Cricetulus griseus: one gene and its partners. The protein of the gene in region 3 interacts with the protein of the main gene of each other region in a biochemical or structural test. Links are inferred from orthologs where the notes say so. Each region holds a gene or a part of one and is shown on either strand. Other genes may lie near its edges.

The links.
Region 1: the proteins of Bmp7 (region 3) and Acvr1 form a complex in vitro, tested with the Homo sapiens proteins (2 studies listed by BioGRID). The link is inferred for Cricetulus griseus from reciprocal best matches to the Homo sapiens genes BMP7 and ACVR1.
Region 2: the proteins of Bmp7 (region 3) and Bmpr1a form a complex in vitro, tested with the Homo sapiens proteins (2 studies listed by BioGRID). The link is inferred for Cricetulus griseus from reciprocal best matches to the Homo sapiens genes BMP7 and BMPR1A.

What each region holds. Positions count from the first base shown.
Region 1 is NC_048599.1:116,416,289-116,419,951, forward strand, and holds part of Acvr1 (activin receptor type-1), read left to right. Parts: intron 1-2,656; coding exon 2,657-2,854; intron 2,855-3,663. UniProt on the Homo sapiens protein: Bone morphogenetic protein (BMP) type I receptor that is involved in a wide variety of biological processes, including bone, heart, cartilage, nervous, and reproductive system development and regulation.
Region 2 is NW_023276807.1:184,929,890-184,933,552, forward strand, and holds part of Bmpr1a (bone morphogenetic protein receptor type-1A), read left to right. Parts: coding exon 1-161; intron 162-2,033; coding exon 2,034-2,136; intron 2,137-3,663. UniProt on the Homo sapiens protein: On ligand binding, forms a receptor complex consisting of two type II and two type I transmembrane serine/threonine kinases.
Region 3 is NC_048599.1:6,453,009-6,456,610, forward strand, and holds the end of Bmp7 (bone morphogenetic protein 7), read left to right. Parts: intron 1-805; coding exon 806-916; intron 917-2,857; coding exon 2,858-3,007; downstream 3,008-3,602. UniProt on the Homo sapiens protein: Growth factor of the TGF-beta superfamily that plays important role in various biological processes, including embryogenesis, hematopoiesis, neurogenesis and skeletal morphogenesis.

The sequences.
Region 1 (3,663 bases), about 110 Mb from region 3:
CTAATTAATGGTTAGCCACATTTCTTTTGGTATGAAGCCTTCCAATTAGGTACATTAGTTGTTGTAAAAACCCATGCTACTGAGTCACTGCAGGAGACCCATAATGTTGTGTAGGAAACAGCCCTTTTAAGGCTTTAGATTGCATTTATTTCTTCATGGTTTACCCTGAAATTAAGGATCACTCATCAGGAACAGTGTTCTGTTATCAGTGCTGCTCAAAGGACTGTATATGATTGATTTTTCTAACTTTTTATTATTAACAACACTTAAGCATATACATTTTTAATTAAATTTATCTTTTTAAAAATTAACTTCATTATTAAAAAATACTTGCAAATAAGTGAAAGCGTCACATAAAAGGTTTGAAGGAATATTATTTTTGTTTTGTCTTGTTTTGTTTTTTGAGACAGTGTTTCTTTGTGTAGCCCTGGCTGTCCTGTCCTGGAACTTGCTCTATAGACCAGGCTGGCCTCAAACTCAGAGATCTTTCTGCCTCTGCTTTCCAAGTGCTGGAATTAAAGGTGTGCACCACTACCACTCCCCTTGAAAGAATATTGTAATGACTCTTAGGTTCAAAATTAGAATTTTTATCACATTTTTCTTCTGTGCTTAAGTAGTTTTACTAATTTTGGGGTATGTGACAGATACCACAGCACTTTATTACTAAATATCTCAATTTGTTGTCCCATATCAAAATATATCTTCCAAGACCACAGTTTAATCTCATCTAAAAATCACTGAAGTCTAACCATGTCTCCCAGACTGGCCTGGAACCTCATTTAGCCTAGGCTGGATCTTCCTGCCTCAGCACCTGAATGCTGAATGTATTACAAGTGTGTGCCACCATCCTTGACTTTCCCAAGTAACAATTTAGTCAAGGTTTACAGGTTGCATTTTTTTTTTTTAAATTGTGATAATACTCTAGTGGGTAAAGGATTTTCTGTGAAGCTTATCACCTAACATCTTCTGGATGGTTTTTATTTCCTTCCTTCCTTCCTTCCTTCCTTCCTTCCTTCCTTCCTTCCTTCCTTCCTTTCTTCCTTCCTTCCTTCCTCCCTTCCTTCCTCCCTCTCTACCTCCTTCTTTCTTTCTTTCTTTCTTTCTTTCTTTCTTTCTTTCTTTCTTTCTTTCTTTCTTTCTTTCTTTCTTTCTGGTAGTGTCTTACTATTTAGGCCTAACTGACCTGGAACTCACTGGCCTTGAAACTTGTAGAAATTCTCCTGCCTCTGCCTTCCAAGTGCTAGGATTGCAGGTGTACACTGATAAAATGTTGCTCCAGGATCTAGTCATTGGAAGCCTTTGCTTTGGCCAAAGGAGCCAGTTCCAATATAGTTTGGTCACATGGCTCTTGGCAGCAAGCTTCAGTGCCTTGCATGTAGGTCTCTCCATGGGGCTATTTACTGGCCTTTAGCATACTGAATAAGTCAAAGAAAAACAATCAGGAAAAAAACTTTTGTTCTGTCTTTTGGACCCTCGTTCTAAAGATACACATGGTCACTTTTGTCATTATTAATCCAGCCCAAACTTCTGGACAAAACTAAAGCCAGCATCACAACTGGTGTGGCAGGTGTGTTTCAGCTGCACCTTCACGGCATGCTAATGGTTCAACTAGTGGTTCTAGGAATGGCAGAGGAGCACATATGATTTGGGGAATGCTCAAAATGGCCACAACAGAGAAAGAGGAGCCACTCTGCTTTAGATGAAGGCAGTTGCTAAAATCTTAGCTAATTGTGAAGGGTAAGATGGCGTGCTCTCTGGCCTTGTATGGAGTCATGTCTTCAAAGCTATGGGCCTGAAGAATTCACTCACTGCAGATAGCTGGAGGGATTTCCAAGGCATCTTAGGATTGCAAAGTTTCCCAGGGCATCTTGATCCTGTTTGGCACTTCTCATAATATTGAGTGTTATAGCAATCATTTTTAAGATGGTCTATTTATGCATCAATAAATAATTCCACCCTCAAATAAGCCGTGCACAAATCTGTCTTTCCCCAGTGGCTAGAAGGGAATGGCAGGTCTCTCTAATTGATGGAGGAATTCAGAAACAGAGCCATGGCTTAAGTGCTTTGGAACCATTTAACAAGAGAGATGCACTTTGAGTCAAGGTTCAGCTTATTGCCGTCTGTTCCCAGGATTTCAGGGGAAGGCCCATGGGCTCAGCCAGCCTGATTGCTCTGATAAGAGGCTGCCCCTTTGGGGATACACCAGAACCAGTCATAGTTTGCCCTTTGTGGAGCAATAAATTACCGAAGGTTTTTGGCCTCACACTGTCAAAATTTGTGTTTGGAGATAAGTGGGAGTAGTGATGGCGTTTGGGAGTTTACTTTGCTGATTTTTAAGCCACCTTGAGGTTTACCTAGAATGTGTATGAACCTGTTTTTCCATGGGCTTCAAATGTGGCCTCATAGTGCTTTAGTGTTTTGGTCTGCATTTACAAAAATCTATATCTCCTAGAGCTTCATATATTAACTTGATAGTCTCATAATCTTCCTGTTCTCACACCCAAAGTTACAATTAATCTGGGGACATCCAGGATATTCTAGATGTAACATCAGTGACATGTACCACCAGAGGGCGCTTTTGATTGGGGCTGTTTTAAGTTCTTGCAGCTGCCCAGTAGGAGAAAGGCTAATTACACTGTTGTCTTTTTCCTTTTAGGCCTAGCAGTCATGCATTCCCAGAGCACCAATCAGCTTGACGTGGGAAACAACCCCCGTGTGGGGACCAAGCGCTACATGGCTCCTGAAGTTCTAGATGAAACCATCCAAGTGGATTGCTTTGATTCTTACAAGAGGGTCGATATTTGGGCCTTTGGCCTTGTCCTGTGGGAAGTGGCCAGGCGGATGGTGAGCAATGGTAAGTGTGTGACATTGTCCTTGTCCGTGGTCTTTTGATGCAGTGTGGTCAAAAGGCATAGGGCAATCTGGAAGCCACATTGTTCCTCAAATCAAATCATACTTGCCTGACTTATGGTGGGTTAAGTGTGTAATGGCATTGTGTCTGAAATTCAAGAGAAAAAATGACAACCGAAGAGCTATTTTTGGAGCAGGGTAATGTTTTTCTTGGTTTTCGCTTGGGTCTCTCACTCTTTATTTCCTTTCCTTTTCTGGCTTTCTGTCTGTCTGTCCTCTCACTGTCCTTCCCTCTTTATTGCTCCATAAGCTAGATTTTACTTAAGAGGAGTGAGTGTTCAGCCCTTATGTAAGAACCTTGCTATTGAGGAATTCTTTTTCTTCTTATCACTGGATTATTGAGAGAAGTCTGCTTCCACATTTGGTAAGCATTCCTTATCAGAAGCATTCAGTACTTTCTCAAAATGAATCAGATTTAAGTTCAAGGACCATGGATGGGTGGCTTTTATTGATCTGTTTGATTTTATAAAATGGTTTTGTCTTAGCAGATAGGAAAGCATTTGCTTCCCTCCCTCCCTCCCTCCTTCTCTCCTTCCTTCCTTCCTTCCTTCCTTCCTTCCTTCCTTCCTTCCTTCCTTCCTTCCTTCTCTTTTCTCCTTACCTCCCTTCCTTCCTGCAGGGACTCATTATGCAGATCTGACCGCCTCTACTCCCAGGTGCTAGGATAAAGGCCTGCACCACTACACTTGGCCTGTTTGTCACTGTGTTTTGGCCTGTGTCTCCCACAGCTGGCTCTCTCTCATGGCCACTTAG
Region 2 (3,663 bases), on a different chromosome or scaffold from region 3:
CAGAATCTAGACAGTATGCTCCATGGTACTGGTATGAAATCAGACTTGGACCAGAAGAAGCCAGAAAATGGAGTGACTTTAGCCCCGGAGGATACTTTGCCTTTCTTAAAGTGTTACTGCTCAGGCCACTGCCCAGATGATGCTATTAATAACACATGCATGTAAGTATTTGCTTCAGTCCTTAAGAGTTAGGAGAATAAAAGCACACTCGGACAAGTGCCCCCCCCCCCTTAGTATATGGTATCTTTCCAAAGAAAGAAAGGATTCTTGCCTTGAATATAGAAATATTGTTATCTATCATTAAACAGTTGTGACACTTTTGTTATTTCTCTGTGGACTTCTGGTTCACATCTGCTTTATATATGACTTTGCATTTCCTACTTAGTCATCAAGACTAAGACACCCTCTCTCCCTTGCTGAGACAGGGTTTCTCTGTGTAACAGCTCTGGCTGTACTCTGTACACCAGGCTGGCCTCAAACTTAACAGAGATCCACCTGCCTCTGCCTCCCGAGTGCTGGGATCAAAGGGTGCCCCAACACTGCCTGGCTAACTTCCTACTTAGTTTTATGTTAACCATTCAATCCACTCACAGATGGTCATGAAACTTGAATTTTCAAACATGTATGTATTGTGTGTGTACATGATATGTATGTAGATGTACATGAAGAGATCAGAGGACAACTTACAGAAGTCTCATCTCTCTTCTACTATGTGGGTTCCAAGAATGGAGCTCAGATTGTCAGTCTAGAAAGCAAGCACTTCTACACCATCAGTCATTCTGTGGCCCATAGACCATATCTTGGGGCACATTTGAAGAATTGACTTTCTGGACCAAACAACAACAAAAAATGAAACCAAAACAAAACAAAAACAAAAACTGTGCAATTCAGTCTCATCAGTCAATTAATTATCTTTGTTTTAGAAGTGATAATAAAGGCCAAGTTTTATAGTTCCCTAACATTCTGTGTTCTTTGAATAGACTAAATACAATGTCTAGAACTTCATCTATGAAATTATATTATTTATCCTTCCTACATTAGCTTAGGGAAAAGCTCAAGGACACTGACATTAAAGTGATAAAACTTCATGAAGCTAAATATATTTTTGTAAATTTCTTTAAAATGAAGCTATTCAGACTGTCTCTCTGCTTTCCTGTCTCATTCATTACAAAGTACCTTTCAGAAGCTTAGTGATCTGTTCTTCCCAAATATACTTTCATGTGTCATTGAGGTCTGCTGAATGTTTCGCAGAAAAGCTTGTTTTCATCTCTTACCTTGTATATATAGTATGTGATCATGAGTGTGGTTAGCAGAGCAATTCCGAGCAGCATGCACATGGAACATTTATTTAGCAAAACTCCTTTTCTATTTGACATAGAGTTCTTATTGGCCCTTTAGGCCTTAGTTCAAGAATACTACCTTTGATTTAGCTTAAATCTATATTGGTTTTGGTAATCATATGAGAAGTCAATTTTTTTTTTTTTCTCCCCAAGACAGAGTTTCTCTGGGTAGCTTTGGAGCCTATCCTGGCACTCGCTCTGGAGACCAGGCTGGCCTCGAACTCACAGAGATCCGCCTGCCTCTGCCTCCCGAGTGCTGGGATTAAAGGCATGCACCACCAATACCCGGCAAGAATTCAATTTAATGTGGGAAAAAAACCCAAGTTACCAAAGGCCATTTCAATTCACATATCTTCAGTTCTTTTGTATGTCTTTTTAAATTTTTTAGATTTTTTTTAGTGGAGTGTGTGTGTATTGTGCACACATCAATTTGCCAGAATCAGTTCTTTCCACCATTTGGGTACTAGAAATCAAACTTAGGTCTTCAGGCTTGGTGACAGGGCTCTTAACCATTGAGCCATCTCTCTGGCCTTCCTTATCAGACAAAGTCTCTCTGTTTAGCTCAGGGTGACCTGTAATGCAAGATCCTCCTGCTTTAGCCTCCTGAATGCTAGTATTCTGGATGTGTGCTGCCATACTCTATTCTGTTTAATATGAAATTGTATTGTGTTTTTGTTTTTTTCTCTATTGTAGAACTAATGGGCATTGCTTTGCCATTATAGAAGAAGATGATCAGGGAGAAACCACATTAGCTTCTGGGTGTATGAAGTATGAAGGCTCTGATTTTCAATGCAAGGTAAGATCTAATTTGTGACCATGAAATAAAGAAGCGTAGAACTTCGAGAACAGAGCTGAGTCCCCTAGCAAAAGTGAATTGCTCTTCACACTACTTGGGTCACAAAAACATTTTCTGAAGAAAGCCTTGGCTTGTCAAGTAATAGGATTTTACTAACTGAAGTTCGATTGCTTTACTTTAAGAAAGTTTTTAATCATCACAGATTGTGGTTAATGCAAAAACAAAAACGGTAGTCACATTTATTTCTGGAATGCAAAGTTTACTGAAAAGACTTTAAGATAATGGATAGTAACTTTTAACCCCCCCCCCCCAAGACAGCAATGTTAAATCCTTGTTTCAGAATGAGGTGATTGGAATAAAATGTTCCCCATAGTCTTAGGCATTTGAATACCTACAGTTAAACACTGAGCTGAACTCCTAAAATCCAGTTGCAAAGAGGGAGGAATGATGAGCAAAGCAGTCAAGATCAGGCTGGAGAAACTCACAGAAACATTTGACCTGAACAAGGGGGAGCTTATGGACCCCAGACTGATAGCTGGGAAACCCCCTGAATGTGGGTGTCAGTTAGAAGGCCTGGTCAATCTATAGGGCCTCTGGCAGTGGATCAGTATTTATCCCTAGTATACGAATGGACTCTAGGAGCCCATTCCACATAGAGGGATACTCTCTCAGCCTAGGCCCTTGCTCCAAATGATATGACAGACTTTGAAGACCTCCCCCCATGGAAGGCCTCACCCTCCCTCGGGAGCAGAAAGGGCTGCAATAGTGGGTTGGTGGGGGGAAAGCAGGGGAGGAGAAGAGGGAGAGGAAACTGAGATTGACATGTAATATTTTTCAGATTTTAAAAATTATTTAAAAAATAAGATTATAAAGCCTTGCCCAGTGGTGGTGGCACACGACTTTAATCCCAGCACTCAGGATACAGAAGCATGTGTATCTCTTGAGTTTGAGGCCAGCCTGGTCTACAGAGTTCCAGGACAGCCAGGGTTGTCACATAGAGACACTGTGTCTCCAAAAAAACAAAACAAACAAACAAAAAGTATAAAACCTCATCTCTGAGTTTGAGACCAGCCTGATGTACAGAGTAAGTTCCAAGACAGCCAAAGCTACACAAAGAAACCCTGTCTTAAAAAAAACAAAAGAGTATAAAACCCCACTTACTGCTACTTTGCTTTCTGCTTGCCATTTGAGATGTGGGCCCTTAGCCTCTGCTCCTGATACCATGTCTGCTCTGCCATCATGGACTCTTAACTCGTTAGACCTACTAACCCAGATGAACTCGTTGCAACTTACAAGTTGCTTTGGTCATGGTGTTTGATTACAGAAGTAGAAGAGAACTAATACAGTGTTTCTGTGCAGCTACTTGAAAAGAGCCCCAGAGAGAATTCCTTCATTTTTCTAGATTGTACATGTGAATTTCTTAGGAGATCCTGCCAGTGGTTTTAAAAAACAGCTTTGTATAGAACAGTATATATGTCAGCTGTTTCAGAAAATTCATCCTCTTCAGAACTGGCAGGGTTCATAGAA
Region 3 (3,602 bases):
AGAGCCCTGGAGGGCCAGCTTCCTCCTCCCTTCCTCCATCCTGTTCTGTGACTCAGATTGGGTGTTTGTTTCTGAGCCAAGCAAGCAGGCGATTGTGGTGGAAGTGAGGGTTCTGCACATGCTGTTTCTCTAGCGTGCTTGCCAGGTGCTCCTGCAGCAGGATAGTACATTTCCAGAGCTCAGAGAACACCCTGCCTGGATGACCTGAGCCACAGAGGGTCACTAGCCTCTTGCTCAAGAAGGTGCACCAGCAGGGAGGCCTGGTTTAGACTGACAGACATGCCCTGGCTTGATAATGGGAACAAAATGTTGCCATCTACAAAGTTCATACATATAAAGAAGGTGCAAAAAAATTAAACTGTTTTAACTGTTTACAGTATCATTTGGGTTTTATTTGTAGCTGTTCTTACCCAGTGGGTGCAAGGTCTGGGCTGTGAGGTGGACTCACCTGGGATGGAGCTGAGGCAACGCCATCCCTAGCAGGACAGGGGTGGTTCTAGCCATGGCCTCTGATCTATGGGTCACTCCCTGCTGCTATTGCACCTCTGGTCCAGGAGACATAGCACAAGGGTGTCCCCTCCAAGCCTCAAGTCGCTTCTCTTTCCCTTCTGCTGGGCTCACAAAAACCACGCTCCCTTTCCTGCCCCTGAAGGGACCCCATAACTCAGAAGGGCATAGCCTGAGCCTGTGTCCCCTGTCCATGAGGAAGGACTCCACACAAGGTGGGACACACAGGGGTGGGACACTGCCCTGGGCTCTCTGCAGAGTCTGGCTAGGACCTGGCCTCACCCTCCTCTCTTTGCAGGACTGGATCATTGCACCTGAAGGCTATGCTGCCTACTACTGTGAAGGGGAGTGTGCCTTCCCTCTCAACTCCTACATGAACGCCACCAACCATGCCATCGTCCAGACACTGGTGGGTGCCTCTTGGGGGGAGGGGTGGCCTATGGGGAGTGTGAGTGACTTCTACTGCCTTTACCCAGAACCTGAGCAGCTGTCTGTCCAAGTGTGTCATGACTCTTGTGGGTACCTGCTGTATAAAAGGCTGGAAAAAAATGTTTTAGGCATATAGTGGTATAAAGATGAATTTATATGTGGTGTCAGCATGCCATACTGTGTTATGATTTGTGATCTTCCTGCCTCAGACTCTGAAAAGCTGGAATTATAGGCCTGCACCCCAAACCAGGCAGCAAGGGATATCTATCTTTATCCCGTTCCCACCCCAAGACAGGGTTTCTCTGTGTAGCCCTTGCTGTCCTGGAGCTCACTCTATAGACCAGGCTGGCCTTGAACTCAGAGATCTACCTGCCTCTGCCTCCCAAGTGCTGAATTAAAGGTGTGCGCCGCCACCACCATCCGGCTAGCAAGGGCTATCTTTAAGTACTGGTTTTCCAAAACTTTCCCGTTCCCTGGACCATAAACTCCAAAACTGCATTTGGGATGGAGTCTGCAGCCAGGGATGGAATGAGCTGTCGGAACCTGGTGCGCCGCCAGTGTGGCTTATCTGACCTGCTCTGAGCACGCGGACGGTGCTGTGTCCTGTTGCCTTCAGGGCTCTTCCAGGCACCCTTTACCATGGCCTTAGAGGCCTAGGGGCACAGCTGCTTCTGTTAGCATTTTACCTCAGGGTGCATGAAAGTGTCCGGTGCTGGAGGGAGGAGGCCTCTGTGGTCATGTGGACCAGGGGTAAAACCTTCTTGGGGCATCCTAGTGAGATGCAGTGGAAATGAGCCGACACACCGAGGACTTTGTTACACTTATTCAAAGAGGAGCAAGTTGGGGAGGGTAGAGGTGTGGAAGGGTTTGATACTGTCCATCAGAAGAGATGGAAGGAGCCACCTCAGAGGTCACAGCCTGGAGGCCGTGAGCCGAGAGCCAAGCCAGCTGCTGAGATATATTTGTTTGCCATTCCTGGTTTGCTCAATACCCAGAAGCTGCCCATTAATAACAAATCAGGAACTGGGGTTGGGCTCAGGTGGTAGACCGCTTGCCTGGCATGCACAAAGCGCTGGGGTTCACTGAATGAACTGGGTGTGGTGGTTCAGGCCTGTCATTTCAACCCAGCCCTCGGGAGGTGAGAGCTACATAGCAAGTTCAAGGCCAGCCCTGGGATGTAAGAGCTTCTATCTCAAACAACCTGGTAACACATGAGAACTGAATCTCTGGCCTGTCTGGCATGGGGTCATGAATCCTTAATGGCATGGACTGGCCAGCTGGGCTGGGTCAGCTTGCAGGAGTGGCCTCTCCCTTCAGTTTGCTCCAGTCCCCACTCCTCCCTGCTGCCTCCTCCAGGTTCACTTGGCTCGTCAAAGGTACTCACATGGAATCTGCAAGGCATTTGAGTTTTCCCTTGTCTGACTCCTGCTCTGTGGGGTGCAGAGGTACATGTGAGCAAAACAGCCCTGTCTTGAACTGGGATCGTCATGTAATTCAAACTTGTTTGTGATTCAAATATATAAAACAAAACAAAACAAAACAAAAAACAGCCCTGTCTTTATAATTGTTGTGATGCTGGGGAATCGAACCCAGGGCCTTGTGTGTGCTAGGCAGGCACCCTAACACTGAGCTACAACCCATCCCTTAAGACAGAGTGCTTTTTGAATGTGCAGCAGTCAGGGAGGAGGCTCAGTTTGGAGCCCCAGCTGTGTCTACCACATCAGATGTGTGCAGGAAGACTGTGTGTGCTGGTTCCCTCGTCTGCATGGTGGAGGCAGTCGTGGGCTGAGTTGGGCCATGAGACATGCTCACCTGTCATTTATAGTCATCTTAGCCAGACAGTTGATGGTCTTTAGAGAACTATAGAAGTCCGCAGAAGGCCTCGCCGCCTCTCACCATGGTTTCCGTTGGTGGCTTGCAGGTTCATTTCATCAACCCGGACACGGTGCCTAAGCCTTGCTGCGCACCCACCCAGCTCAACGCCATATCTGTCCTCTACTTTGACGACAGCTCCAACGTCATCCTGAAGAAGTACAGAAACATGGTGGTCCGGGCCTGTGGCTGCCACTAGCCTCTTCTGAGAGCCTGACCTTTTGGGCCACGTTGTTCCAGATCTGTGGCGTCTCAACATCTAGTCTCTCACTGCCCACCTCGGCGAGGAGCGAACAGACCTGTCACCTTTCCTGAGCCTTCCCCTCACCTCCCCCACTGGAAATACGTAAGGCATTAGAAACCCGAGTGCCCAGTGGCTGGCAAGCAGTCTGTAATTCTGGCACACTGCGCACAAGATCCTACAAGCTGCCACAGGCAACATCTAGCAGGAAAAATATCTTCCGAGAAAGAGTCTGTTGGCCACATGGTCTCTGTGGTGCTCTGAGTCCTTGAGGGGTAATCACAAGTGTCCTTCAGCCAGGCCATCAGCTGCAGCAGGAGCAAGGGCATAGCCAGGGTGGGTGTTTAACGTCTGTGGTGAAGGAAGACTAAGCAGAAGTCCCTGTAATAAAATGTCACAATAAAACCCATGAATGAAAATGGTTAGGATGTTACAGATATATTTTCCTAAACAATTTATCCCCGTTCCTTGGTTTATTCTGATTTCATAAACAGAAGCTGGGACCCGTGGATGCTGGGGAGGCCCCCTCCTTTCCACTTGGTTTCCTTCTGAG